2 linked regions of the Drosophila melanogaster genome follow. The protein of the gene in region 2 interacts with the protein of the main gene of each other region in a pairwise test. Each region holds a gene or a part of one and is shown on either strand. Other genes may lie near its edges.

Evidence for each region.
Region 1: the proteins of Tsp42Ef (region 2) and CG8219 interact in a two-hybrid assay, tested with the Drosophila melanogaster proteins (one large-scale study listed by BioGRID).

The regions. Positions count from the first base shown.
Region 1 is NT_037436.4:6,197,138-6,204,276, reverse strand, and holds CG8219 (uncharacterized protein), read right to left. Parts: upstream 3,805-7,139; 5' UTR 3,738-3,804; coding exon 3,639-3,737; intron 3,546-3,638; coding exon 2,955-3,545; intron 2,902-2,954; coding exon 1,834-2,901; intron 1,777-1,833; coding exon 1,606-1,776; intron 1,552-1,605; coding exon 1,380-1,551; intron 1,319-1,379; coding exon 1,223-1,318; intron 1,168-1,222; coding exon 1,092-1,167; intron 1,027-1,091; coding exon 852-1,026; intron 791-851; coding exon 677-790; 3' UTR 501-676; downstream 1-500. Other genes in the region: LanA (laminin A), read left to right, coding at 1-102; Tnpo (transportin), read right to left, coding at 6,556-6,663, 6,720-6,894.
Region 2 is NT_033778.4:7,021,778-7,029,903, reverse strand, and holds Tsp42Ef (tetraspanin 42Ef), read right to left. Parts: upstream 4,895-8,126; 5' UTR 4,520-4,894; coding exon 4,463-4,519; intron 2,921-4,462; coding exon 2,747-2,920; intron 2,686-2,746; coding exon 2,524-2,685; intron 2,461-2,523; coding exon 2,263-2,460; intron 2,203-2,262; coding exon 2,131-2,202; 3' UTR 1,822-2,130; downstream 1-1,821. Other genes in the region: Tsp42Eg (tetraspanin 42Eg), read right to left, coding at 746-805.

The sequences.
Region 1 (7,139 bases), on a different chromosome or scaffold from region 2:
AAGGGCTGCATCAGCAAGGTGGAGGTTAACCAAAGGATGATCAACATCACGCCGAACATGGTCGTTGGCGATATTTGGCAGGGCTATTGTCCCCTCAACTAATAAAGAACTTCGGAACGACTTAAGGACCTATGATTTATTTGGACAACGACTACGAAAAACTGCCAGGAAGAATCTTCTTTTGCCGACAACTGCTAATCAAAGGACAACGAACGATCAAATTTCAAACGAACAAAATCGACGGGTCATAAAAAAGTCATAAGGTCTTCAAAGTAATAGATCCTTAGCAAAGATGCCAGTCGTATATATTCCTAGTACTATAAGCCAAACTGCGTGCCAATTCTATTAAAGCCATTTACATTTATATATCCTTTTTAAAACTCCTTAAGAGAATCTTGCATTTTTGTAATTCCAATAAACCAATAAAATAAACATTTTAATGAAACTAAAACTTTTGTTTTTTTATGTCATAAGTTTTAAATGGTGTAACATACATTTTTACAATTATTGAGACTTTATTTACAAAAATATTTCAGGTTTTGTTGAATTATTCATATTATAAATGATTATATAAAATCGTATATTACTCAATAGCTGACTTTTTTTGGGGCTTTGGTTACTTAGTAAAATTAGAATGATGATTGAAGCAATACATAATTGGCTGGATAGCTTCGGATTAGTATTCGATGTCGTACAGTTCGATTAGCCGGCAGGCCAGTGGTTGTGGAAATTTCCCCAAAAAAATTAGCCAATTCTCCGCACCCGTTTGGTTCTTAAAGCCTTCGATAATCTAGAATAACAAACGAGTATTGTTGAAAGACGAAAATTAATAATTTCCGGAAATAACTTACTCTTCGAATCATCTGACGCAGATCCTGTGGAGGATTGTCCCACGAGGCAATGGCATCGCAAAAGAATAAGAAGTCGGGCACCACGCCTCCTGGATTCTCCCTGATCATATGGCACATTCCCATAAAAGACAAATACTTCTCGTCGTGGTCATATGCGTAACGCAATAACAAGCACCTTCATTTCGTGGAAGAAAGGATAATTTAAAAAATGAGCAAATGAAGCATTTAATGTGTACATACCACTGGCGTAGGAATTCGGGCAAATAGGGAGCCACTTCATCTGGACATGCATTTCCGAGGCGCCCAAGTGTTATTGCTTAAAAAAAAGAATAATAATAATAAATTACTTTAAATCAGGCCAAATTACTTACCCGCATTCCTCGAAAGATTTTTTGGAATGTCCTGCCGGTTCATCAGGATCATTAGTTCGCTAAGCAGAAGGCGTACGTACGGCTTGGTTTCCTCACCTTAGGGGCGAAATACAAAAAATCTTTTTTGTTACATTATAAGAGAACCAAGCCAACTTACCCAACTTAACGCAGATTTGCCCTATGGCCCAAACTGCATTGTTGCACACACCAACAACGCTGGGGTTTAGGTTTTGCACCAAGATCAAAATAAAGTGGGCCGTGTAGGGGTATACCTGGGAAAAACAAGCCCCGCTCAAATCACCCAGCAGGGCAAACGATGATTGGCGAACCTAATATGTATTTTAATCCCATATACACGAGTATATTAATTAGGTAAAACTTACTTCGGGCATAACGTCGCCCATGCATTGGCAGAGCAGCTGCAAAAGTTTGCTGTTGGCCACCAGTGGCTCTATGAGGCTCTGCAGCCCCTCGATCAAGCCAGACACCAGATCCAGGGCGATAACCATGCGCTCCTTGTCAGGATAATCGGTTGATTGGCTTTGTTTACACATCTTGAAAGGAGTCGAGTTCATTGATAGATTTACATTGAAGCTAACACAGTTGCTTACCATGTCCTGGTTGATAGTCTCCTCAATAATGGAGATGCCCTTTCGATACACCGAGTCGCAGTAGGGCAGAAAGGAGGACTGCAACGCAGTGGCGATGCTCGATAGGCACTCCAACAAATAGATTATATCTTTGTCGTCGTCCTTTACCAGGTTCCACTTATCCATTAGCGGAGGCATTAGGATGTCAATATATTGCGGTTTATTCAGATGATGACCGACGGACTCCGCTAAAAGACCAACGACATCGTACATTATCAGTAGATTCCTTTGGTGGTACTTGGAGAAGGCTAAGACGAACGTCTTTAGCATATTCTCCAGGTAGGGCACCAGTTGCGTGCAGGCCTCCTCCTCCAGAGCGACAAAGGCAGAGCACGCAGCTTCCTGAACGCGCTTATTGGAGTCCAGGATGCACTTCAGCAGTTCCTCGATTAGAGGCTCCAAGTACTTGTCGTGCGGCTGGTTGAGCACCCATTTGGGGAATCGCATGAACGTCCAGCATGTAATGGAGCGTACGAGTGGCTTCTTGTCAGACAGACAGGTAATTAGGTAGGGAATCAGCTCTGGTAAGTGTGGGATCAAGCCCTGCATGCAGCCCTCCGCAATAGCTCCCAAGGCCATCACACCACTTTCTTTGATCACCCATTCCTGGTGGAATAGCGCCTCCTTTAGGATGGGCAGCATAAGGGGCAGACAGACATCGCCGAAAATTTTCGAAATAATGTCGAGAGCACAAGCGCTGCACTTGCGCAAGTTCAATGCCGAATCCCACATATCGTCGTCCGAGTTTTCATCCAATTCATTACTTATACCGTGTACGCGGGACATGTGGAAACGTGGACTGATATCCTGCTGTCTATCAGGCTCCTTGTCATCTTCACCTACATCGCCCTTCAGAAGAATAATGTCCGTCTCCGTGTATTGCGTTCGGCTTACAAGAACTGGGACTAACTGGGATAGAATGGGAGAAAGTATATCCCTGCAGTTTCTCTGCTTTCCCAATGAAAGCCAAAATTCGGTGGCCTGCAGAGCCACGTTCTCATCGGCGTCCTGGGAGCGCAACAAAATGAGCTACAGAGATTTTTCATTACGTTAAAATTTAAAACTAAACCTTAACTTCATACCTCAATAATCTGCGACATGTGCGGCATCATAAGGTCTATGCGCACCCCCACCAGACCAACCAATGCGTGGCAGACGTTCATGCGAACCGCTGGGTCATTATCCGAGGGCACGTCTAAGAGGTTCTGAATGAGGCTGTCTATGTTTAGCATCAGGGCCTGTGATCTGTTGATGATGAACTGGTTGATGCAGGCAATGGCGTGGGAGCGGATCTTTGGACTGCTGTGCTTAAAGTACTCCAGGAACTTTGGAATCATTGTATTTAATGGCATATTTTCCAAAATTCCGGCAGAGTCCTCGCAAATTTTCTGCAGAGCACTGAATGCTCCTTCGCACACATTGTAGTCCTGGTTGTCGAGCATTTCGCAGAGAGATGGAAGCAGCTGCGGCCAGTTGTGCAGACCGATATTGCTGGCAATGGTGGTAATCAGAATGCCCACGGTGCCACGGATCTCGGGTGAAGAGTCGCCCACTGCCTGCAGGCACTGGTGTTTGATATACTCCAGGTGTTCCGGCTGCAGAGTGATGTCGTGCATGCGAATGTTGTTCTTGAGGATTAGGCCGCTCATGGAGCGCGTTGCCTCGTTTTCCGTCTTCAGATTCGTGAGCACATAGACGAGATAGTTGTTGAAGTCCGGGAAGCACCCGATGAGGATTGCTAAATCAGTTGGGTCTTCGGTACTTACCTCTTGCACGGCTAGCTGCGTGGCTTTACCGGGAGACTGTGAGTCCTTGAGTATCGGTAGGAGCTGCTGCAGACCTTCATCCCGTGGTGTCCATGCCATTTTGCTGCTGATGCAAAAGTTAGCCGGGTTTTGTATGATAAATGTGGGGTAAGGTCTGCCAAAGGGGGCTACCGAAGTGACAGAGAATGACACTCTGTTCTCGGCCTACTCATATCCCATACAAATCAGAAAATCCATTATCTTGATGGGTAATGTTTGTTATACATACATATTTATTCATATATATACTTTTCAATTTACACAAATCTTGATAGTTGAATTTTGAAATGGAGTTTTTAGCCAAACAAATATATAAACTCCAGAAGAATAATCTGTAATCCATATAGTTTGATGTAGGGATTATACATACATGCATGTATTTCATATATATGCGTATGTTATTTATGCATATAGGCCCGTATATATATTCAATTTCGTTAGACATTTGCAGAACATTTGATTTAGCCTAGACAGTGGTTGTAAGCTTAAACGATTAGAGATATAAACCTATCAGAGTTGAATGTTCGATGAACGAAAAGTTTTACGTGCTGTTTATGAAGATATAGATGGTAAAACAATATTTACTAGGCTTGGTCTTGATTTACTTAAAAAAAACAACGGAAGTTAAATATCATAATTGTGTAAAGTACTAAAAACAGTTGGTATGTTCTCTTCATCGATTTAATAGCATACACACGATAATATTGAAAGAAATAAGAAAAAAATTCTCTAATGCTGCACAAATAACTTTTGATTTGCTGTTTTAATTTGTTTCTTGCCCTAGCTTGACCTAACATTTAGTTTATTTGATGTTCCCTACTTTTTTTTTTGGTTTGCCCTATCGTAATGAAAAATAATATTTTAAACAAAAACCTACTCTGCATAAAATCTATAAATATATTTCATATTGCTGTATATGTGTGGTGTGTACATGTTTAATGTTGTATGTTTATGTGTAGTTGTAGTAGTGTTGATTCAGTTTTTTTGTTTTCATTTTTTTTTTCTGCTTAAACGCTAATCACTAAGATCACCCGAGAGAGATACAAACGCACGCGAACGCGACCGGATTCCGCGATGAATCCGGATTAAGGTACAACGAAATCACGATTTTTCATTTTAGTTTAGTTTCAGTTTTAGCAATTGCTATGCTTCCGCTTTAGTTAGACCGTATTATTATCAAGTTATCAAGTATTGCGATTATTATTTGGGACTCGGGGGCGAAAGTCCCTTATTGTTAGTTTTTAAATTGATTGAGTTTAACGCGACGCGAACGAACGACCCGAAGTTACTTTATTATCACACGTTCCCCCATTTTCGAAACGAAATAAAAACACAAACGTAAACACGGTTTGCATAATTACGTAATACTATTACTTAGATTTACTTACTCTTCTTACGCTTCATAATCATCCATTTATTTTGTATTTGACTGAGTTTGGTTTTCCCTAGTTTTATTTTTCGTATGTTTTAGTTGTTCCGCGACAATTTCAAAGACTTTTGTTTTCATTTAGTAGTACACTTTACACCTAATCATATAATTGTAAAAAATTTGTTCTGTACAAAGATCGTAAATTATAGAGGTTACGCAAAACACGAGTCTATACAAATGATATAAAAGTTCGAAGAAAATAATAATAGTTCATTAATTACACTTGTCCCTATACAAAAAAAAATTATATAATAATACTTTAAAAAGTGATCAGTCAATGGTTGCTTTTGTATTCAGTTAATGGAAAATAAATAAGATATTCAACAAAATCCTAATCTCAATTTTACAATGTTTCCCTATTTGCTTGCTTTTCGCTTTCACAATGCGTAAAAAAACACCTAATTTTGTATAGCATATGAATATCATTAAGTGTATCAGTAAATTTGTATCAGTAACAGTTGCAATATTATCGTTATCCTTGTATTATATCCTTTTTTCCTTTTTCTTTTGTTTTACCCGACGAGATACCACGAACGACGATTACGATTACGAACGAGCGACGAAAATACGCGAACGCGAAACCGTTAGAACCCGAAACGCGACGATTTTTTTCGATTCCATTTTTTGTTTGTTATATAAATGACGAAAGTGTTGGATACTTCTGGGAAATTGGAATCCGCTGTTGATGAATGCTTTCTATGGTTTTTGAACGGAGTTGAACATCAGTCTTTGTTTGATTTGTAACAATTTTGTGTGCACCTGCCATTGAATCCATTTTTCCATTTCTGATCTTAGGATTTCACAGGAGACCCAACACTTTCATCCTTTAAAGATTTTATTTAGTTATTTAGTTTTTAATTACCGCGACGAGGACCCGCAATATCATTTAGTTTCGACGATTTTTCATTTAGCTTTTCTATTACTATATGAGAAACACCCGTGTGTTTAACATATTCAACTCTATTTTCGGTTTGGGTTTTGGGGCAGAGTGTATTGGAGAATGGGGCATATCTGCTATAGCACTGACTCCGGTTAAGTACGGCCGGAACACATAATTTTCTAGTGGTTCCTACTAAGTTTTCTGCACAAGAAAGGCATTTTATATGCTGTAAGCGGACAGTCGTGTGCCTAAAGAGGTTCTACAGATCAAAGATCCTCTAGCTTGAATTCAAATATATACGATTCTTCTCTATTCGATTTTTCGATATATGTTTGTGGATTTAAATCTAGTTATGTAGTTTCTTTTATGTGGATTTGCTGTTTTTTTCGATTTCTATAAGCTTAGATTTTCAATGTTAACTTAACATTCGAACTGCATCGAATAACTTAAGGAGGCTAAAGATAAAGACGACACGCTTATTACGCATACTTGTACATAATTGTCTAGTTAAAAAGTTGCTGCTTGGCTCGCTAATGGGTGAAGGTGGGTGTTTTATGGCATGGCTAGCCTTAGATGTTATACATTGTGGTCAGGCGCTCGGCCAAGGTTGGCGGGAATTGCTCCACAAATCGACGCCAGTTCTCCTCGCCCACTTGGGTCTTAAAACCGTGCAGAATCTTGAAAGAAACATGTGTGAAATAAAGAAAATAGTTACTACCTGTAGGGTACAAACCTTCTGTATCATCTGATGCAGATCCTCTGGTGGGTTAACCCAGGAAGCGATGGCATCGCAGAAGAATATAAAGTCTGCTACCACGCCAGCTGGATTCACCGTGATCATATGACACATTCCACGGAAGGCTGAGTCCTTCTCATCATTGTCTCGTATGTGCCGCAACGATGTGCACCTGCATTTTTCAAAGAAAATGTTTAAATGTCGTTTTCAGGAAAAGTAAACTAAATTAGCAGGCTTTGGCAAACACGAAAGTTCAAAAGCAAATTTAAATTCCAGTTAAATGATGTGGATTGTTAGTGAGTTGTGGAACAAAGGAATAGATCGATGTGCTTATAGGTTTCAGTGTTCAAGCGTAATTTAAGAGTAATGGGAAGAACGGGAAGGATAGATAAGAGAATAGAAGGAAAGAATAAGCAT
Region 2 (8,126 bases):
CAGTCGCATTCCAATGGAATCAAACGCCAGAAAGATGCCCAAAACGTCTAGGAAATGACATCAACAGATATGTATATGTACACACGGCCCAAGCCAAAATCTGGTTCAAGTAAATCCAACTAAAATAACAGCGAATATCTAATAAAAATTCTGTAGATTTTGTTCAGGGTTAAGTGATGGCGTGGGTGACCAAGTTTCGACTTGGCAGACATAAAATGTTGAAAGCCAAATAAAAAGCTCAATAGAAAATAAACAAAATACAAGCAAATATCTAAATATTATATCATTTTTAAAGATATTTTTGTGCGGGTGAAATTCGCTAGAACATGGTGCCTTTTAGAAGAGTTTTTCCCTATCTGGCTGATGTAAAAGTATTTGCCTCAACATTCAAGTGAATTTGAAAATGAAACACAAAAACAAACAAAAATAGCAAAACAATATTTATGCTTAAGGAGGCGCTCCAATGTTTGAATTCTGTGCAATGAAATAAACAAATGTCACGTCAAAGGCTGATGGATTTGTGAATGAACTTGGGCGAAGCTGGAGAACGTTTCTTGGGCAAGAACTGGCATTTGGCCAAAGTTAAGTTGTTTTCCTGCAATTAGCCTTGGCTAGAGCTTCAGCTTAATTACTGTCGTCGTGCTGTTTGGGGTCACCAGAGTTGCGCGACAGAAATACCTGCCCCTTAACGCTTAAAACATGTAATGCTTAATCTTTATGGATGCTTATAGTATATAATACTCACAGCGAGGATAATATCCCAAAAGAGGGCAAAGCCCTTCAAAACGTTTGTGGAGCAGGCCATCTTGCCAATCCAATTTTCGGAAACTATATATCTATTGTTTCTTTGCAGGAGGTTACGCGTATTATTTATAACACTTGGCAACTCGCGGCTTGTTGACAATCGGAAAATATTTATTTCGGATCTAACGGTTGCTGGGGTTACCCAAAACCGGGCTCATGCTCACCGCTCGACTGTTAACTGAAAACTGAAAACTTTTCCAAACGTTCCGACTTTGTTGATAGCGCGAAAAGCATTTGGCGAACAAACGGCGGAAATCGGAACGAAAGCTTCGGCACAACGTGTGGAATCGAAACATTTGGCCGCAAGAGCGCAATGATTTTGTGCTCAACTAGATATTTACTTATATATGTTCGTTAGCGTGTACACAGAAAACAGAAATAGATGACGATCTATTTGAATAAAATGGAAGACGCGGTGGCCCATGCTAGTTATACCCCTTACTCGAAAAAATAGGGTATGTTGTGCACGTGAGCAAGGAACAAACATTTCCTAAAAACACCACGATATCAACATAAGCTGACTTATCTGCTGAAATACAGAACGACGATTGTACTGATCCTTTAATAAAACACTTCATTAAAAATATCATATTTTTTCCAAAAAGTGCAACAGGCTTGGAAAGCTAATATACCCTGATTACTTTGAGGGTGTGTCGCATCTCATAGTAATAGTACTCTGACTGCAGCATTCTCGCTTTTTTTATTTTATTTTTGCCAGTAGAAATATTCGGTTTATAATTAATTTCCATTTGAAACGTTCATCGTGTGTATTTATTTTTTGGATACCAAAGCTTTTCTATGTGTGAGCAACATAACCGGCAGTTTTATTTTTAAATATAATATCGTTTGTATAATTTATACAAGCAAACCACAAATGTGCCCCACAATGTGTGCCCCAATACGTTACTAATCAGGTGTGTGCAACTATATGGATAACTAATTAGGTTAGAATAGTAACGAAACACGACCCAAACACGCTAAATATAATGTGTTTTTCAATAATAACAGAATGAAGTAGGTGCTTGACTTTGGTTCGATAAATTTATTTAAAAGTATGTTGAAATAAATAAAACTAAATCTATTTTACTTTTCTTAATCTTAGTTGTGAGTTGCCCTCTGTATTTCACTGAAATCAACGTGTGAAAAGGGATCATTTCAGTGCACTGTGCTGATTAAATGAGTTTCAATTTCGAAAATATAACAGCAATACCCCAGTCTTGAATAACGCTCAAGACCTGCCAAGCCAATTAATTAATAGTGTAATATTCTTCAGAAATTTAACAAGTCGACTGCCAATCCCAGTTGAGTATTTTCAGGTTTCACTGTCTAAAAGTAAGAACGTCGAGCATCGTTGCGAATGCTGTTGCACAGGCGGCAAGAGATGACACTCAGCAGGAGCTGCAAGAGATGGGGACATTTTAAAAACAGCGCTCAGTCGTTCGCTTTTGGGACACCCACCTCGAAGCCAATGAGTACGAGGGCCAGGATGTTAAAAATCTTGGTCAAGTGTTGCCAGTAGTTCTCGAACTCCACCCGACAGCCGGTGTGGATCAGGTTCTCCGGCTTGCTCTTGTCGTGGTTTCGGAAACATGTCTCCGGCGGCAGTCGTTCGTTGACGATGTAATCCTGGGGACTTCCACGACCGCAGCACTGGAACTACGGGTATATGGGTGATTATCAGTGTTTATGACTCTAACTAGAGCCCTGCTGTCAACTCACCCAGTTCTGGTACAGCGACATGGCACCAGGGCTGTTCAGTTCCTCCTCCCAGGTGGCCTCCAGGGCATTAGCCAGGTTGGAGGCCACCGTCTTCTCCTGGGTGATCAGCAAGTAGACGACGGCGAACTGGGCAATGATGACCAGGCACAGGAAAATAATGAACTGCAAGGAAATAGAACCGTATACCACCATGCTTAACAGTAGACACCCATCCTTGACTTACCGTCACTGTGCAGCACACGTTCTCGCGCCAGGCGGACAGGTATCCCCAAAGGACAACCAGCAGGGCAGCAGCCCCGAGTCCCACGTAGCCGTAGGCCGTCAGCTGACCGATCTCGTTTAGGTTGTAGGACACCGCCACATAGATGCCGAAGGATATCAGCACCAAGGCTAGCAGCTGTGGGATCACAAGTCCAATATTAGTAGGGAATCTTGGGAGCTTCTCGAACGGAATGAGCATTCTGACCTCATTAGAAATACATATATGTTGTTCGTTTAGCTCAAGTAATACAATTACTAGTACCGAAGACCGAAATGAATTGTCTGCCTTAAATTTATCTGATAAGATAAGAATACGTGCGTACATACAACACGATTTAAGTTCAAGTTGAAGACTTTCAAAAAGATTACAATAAATCAAGATTAATTACATGTAAAGGGTAACACTTTATCATAAATTTGATAAGCTTCAACGCTATGAATATATATATATATATATATATTTAATATTAGTTAGATAATTATAAGGGTGGCGCTCGACAGCTTTGATAGCTTTGATAGCTTTGATAAGAGACCGCTGAAATCCCACAATCAAGCCGTCCAAATTCAAATTGGCCGGCAATACACATTCATAGACATGTTGTTATTGTATAGTGTTTGTTATGTTATTCAGCTTATCTTTCCTTGCGAGTGAAACTCACTGAATTGGCAATAGTTACCTTCGTCAGCAACCCATTTAACTAAAGTCCTGGTACTTGTGGCCTAGTGTTCCATTTCTAGTGTTTTGACCTCGCACAAGGCGTTAGTTGGAGAGCCCATTCGGGGGCGTCCTCCAGGCTAGCCCATCTGGCGACAGGGATAGACGCCAAGGAAGTTGGCGGGAACGTGGTGTGGGAAACTAGGGACTGGGAAGTCGAAGAAGGACACCCACAGCAAACAATTCGGACAGGACTGCGCACACAGACAAGGTCACTCGATTACTATTCATATCTGATACGGCGGTATCGCAGCGGATAGCTTGTTTGCTAACGCGCTTGTTTGAGTGGGTTTGAATTATTCAAATTCAGTCTCTGTAGCATTGGGATAAGTTTAAAAGGTGACGTGAGGCGCTCATACAGCGATGATGTTTCGATTCGAAAATGAAAGGCGAGGTGCAAACATCGGTGATTAATTCGCTAGCTGTTTCGATTTAGCTCTGATACGAGTGTGACTGTTTTCCGATTGCAATGGATTCGTCCGAAAGTCATGAGTAAGCCGAGTCCCTGCTGCAAGTCCAGATATCGATTGGAAAATTTCGAATTGATGAGCTGCCAGCGGACGGATAGCCCGATCGTATTATATATGCTGTGACCTCTGGGGCCATCTGGTCCTTCTCACCGCGGCTTGCAATTAAATTGTATAAATAAACCAATAAACTATAATCGGGGAATTGGGTTCGACCATTAGACGGTTTTACTGGTGTGTTTTACACTCCTGCCAACCAAAAATTAACACATGGCGACGGTTCCCATACTAAAATATGCCGTGTATATATGTACGCAGGTACACTTAAAGTTGTGCCATTTGATAAGATGATATATTTCGTGCATTGTTTGGGATCGTTGCGAAACCAACTTAAGTGGTCGTTGTACCGTATTCTTGTTTACAACGCATACAATTGACGTAATCGCTGGAGTGGGCTATCTCGGGTGTGGGCGGGAAACTAGCGAAAGTAACTCACTGTGCAAAGTACGTCCAGGGCGTAAACAATCAGCTTCACACTCGACGTGGACGCCATGGCGGATGATGCTCCTCGGATTCGTTGGGGGTCGAGATGCCTGAAATTCCTGGAGAGCCGCCTGAAGAGAGAGCAAGCTGCGCGAAACTTGTTTTCGTACTCCTCCGCTCTCTTTGAGATCGAATCGGATCAGTGAGATCAGCGATGTTTCTATATCTCTCTATCTCTCTCTGGGCTCCCTGTACGTTATCGATACTTTCTGGAAGATCGTCGCAACTATGTCGAATTTCCTCAATCTAACAGCGTGCAACGTAGCACCACCAATGGTGGGAAATTGTCGGAATCAGCGAGGCACTTTCCCGCAGCGAGTTGAATGACTCATGGGCGAATGACTCGGATCAGGTGCGGTCTGTCCGTCGGCTAGAAATTCACTGAACGGCGCTTCTACTGCCGGCTATCTCTATCTCTTCTCCGAAGCTTTCGAAGTAGCTTTTGCGTGCCGAATGACATCAACGTTGCCAGGCTGACAAGAAAAGCTGAGTGGCGGGTCCCAGAAGTGGCTTTTAAAATATGGGCAATGTCTGTTTTAAACTAGTTTAATGTTTGCTAAAAATGAAGATATAATCATTACTAGCATTCAATACAATCGCTATTCATAAAATAAACGTATAATCTCAAAACAATCAGTTTTAAACGTAGGAAGAATAATATGTGAAATATAATGTGAATAGTCAAATTTAAAATTAAAATTTATGAATAATACTTTAAACTTTGATACTTAATACTTTAATTTATGAATACCAATGAAAGAGTGGAAAAAACACTCACTGCGGTTAGGTCATAGTGGAAGTGGGAAAAAATTTACCGAAGCGAGTTTCTCGACTACGTATACCCGTTACAGATAATTGAATAGAAGATAAGTAAAAAACCTATTCGAGTTTTGTGGCTAATTTATACCCTTTACTTGTAGTGTAGAAAAGACACTTTTGATTAGTCTTGCTTTATTATTAGTCTTGCTGGTTTCAATAGATATGCCCAACACATTTGGGCCATAAAAACGTTAATAAAATATGATTTAGTGTACCAAGGCATTTAGCAATAGGTTTAATAATGGCGCCAATTTGAGAAACAGTAGCTTTCGTACGTTTATATCTTCCTTGCACTCTCATTAGGCGAGTACCGAGTATCTGATAGTAGAGTTGACCTAACTTTCTATTTTAATCTTTTTATTCAGTTGTTTGTATAAGCTTACCACAAATTCACGATAATACGTAAACACAACGTACAGTGTGCATATACTGAAAGCTGAACAAACAAATTTGATTTTAAATGATTTTGTTAAGTCTAAAGATAAAAACGTGTTTATTCTTACCCTCCAAATAGGCAGATGTAATGGCTTCGACCACCCCAAACTGGGAGCTATGTTTCTGGCAGTATCCCAAAACCCACGCAATATGAATATAGTTAACCCATGAAGACAACAAGCCCCAAGAAAATATTATAAGCTTAAACTTAATGAATAAGAAACATTAATAATGCAATTAATAAAGGATCGCCAATGGTGACAAACCTGACACTTGGCACAAACCAAAACGAGACCATAGGCAGAATTGATTAATTGAAAAATACCAAGGAGTGTCCACAGATCTAGACATTCTAAAATATTAATAATTATGGAATGATGTTGATATATTTATAAAATATGAAATTACCTTCAGTCATCGAAATATTGAAATCTGATAAGAGTAGAGACATAAGCTAAATAAAACAATTAAGACGGTATACACCCAATTATATTTAACTAGAACACACCAAATATCCATTGCAAATCAAAAACGGGAGATGCAAAATTATCATGAAACTCTTACACATCGCACGAAACTTCGACTAACACTTTTCAAACTAAAACCCTAAGGAAACTTTTATTAATTGCAAAAGCCTTTCCAAAATGTCCCATTAATATTAATAGCTAAGTTAATATATTAAGTGGCACTGTGGGTGGCAGGACACATAGGTCATGACAAAATATCAATCGAAAAGTGTGGTTATAAACACTAAAATCCTTTATTTTATTTATTTATTTATGTAAACTAAGTCTCCTCCTCGGGTACACATATTTATAAGTTATTGTAAAACCTTATAATTTATAGTATGAAAATATAATTTAATTTCTCTCGGTGTGGAATGGCTGTTTGGTGATTTTTTAATTATTTTTCGATGTAGGGTTAAGTCAGGCGTCACTCATCATATATATTTTTGATTTTTATATATTATAATATCTCAACGACATGAACTTTTCACGACTTGACTCAGTCGCCACTACACAAGAGAGAATGCTATAGTCGTGTTTCACGACTATCAGATACCCGTTACTCAGCTGGAAGTGCGAACGAGAAATTTCAATATTTATTTTGGGAATAATAAAATGAAAAAAAGTTTAAAAATTTTTCAAAACTGTGTGCGTGACAGGTTTGGGCGTTTTTTGGGCGTTATAGTGGACGACGCAACCTTTTTTTGGCCCATAGATAGAAATTTAAAAAACTAGCTCAAAAGTAAAAAAAAATATCAAACCATTTTTCAGAAGTGTGGGCGTGACGACATCTGTATCTCTAGAATCTGTATGCTTAATTTCAACAGTCTAGCTTTTATAGTTCCTGAGATTTCGGCGTTCATACGAACGGACAGACGGACGGTTATGGAGAGTTCGACTCCGATATTGTTCCTGAGCAACATTTCCCTCTTCCTTTTACATACTTTTAAACCTTAAATGTGTGTTTACTTTTATACCCCTTACTCAAAGAGTAAAATGATATGCTAGACTCGATACAAAGTATGTGACAGTAAGACCTGTGGTAGAAATCACGGGTATTATAAGAACTAGAATACTGACATTCTAATATTGTAACACCCGCGCAGCTTTACTTTTATTTATATATAATATTTTTGTGGTTTTATCATAATCTGAAGTTTTCAGCTAAGAAATTATTTTGCAACTTTAATCCCAGGATCATTTTAATCACGAAATAACACTGCGTTTAAAAGAAAATCTCTTCTGGTCTTTTTGATTTTCGAATTTAGCACCTAAACAGTTTATTAAAAGTTTACATCCATTCGCAATATTTATTAAACTTTATTTTGATAAGCAGGACAGTTGTTAACTATTAAATTAATACTAACTATTTCCACCTCCAAGCTCCATCTGAACTTCTTTGGTAGGACAATATTTCAGGCCTTTGAAATTCCCATAAACTGAAACAAGTGAATATATAGCAAAACCTAAGAAAATTGAAGAGAAAGTTTTAAATTTAAGGTTTTCAAAATAACGTATACTCACAGATGTGCAAGAAGTGGAAAATTGAATAGGCATCAAATTTGTTAGCGGTTTCCACGAAAATTAAGACGAATACTTCAATCTCCAATATGCAGAATGTTATAATCCAGAAGCAGAAAATAATTTTAACCTGTTATAACAGAATGCTTAAAAAAGATAGTAATTTATTTGTACCTCACCAACTTTGAATTTCAGGTAATTCAAAAAGAGTCCAGATCCCGCCAGAATGAGTGATAAGAACTCCATGGTAATCAAAAAATCTTTATTTCGATACAATTCGCGATGCATCTCTGGTTGAGTAAAACGTACAACTGTATATGCAAATTCAAAAATAAG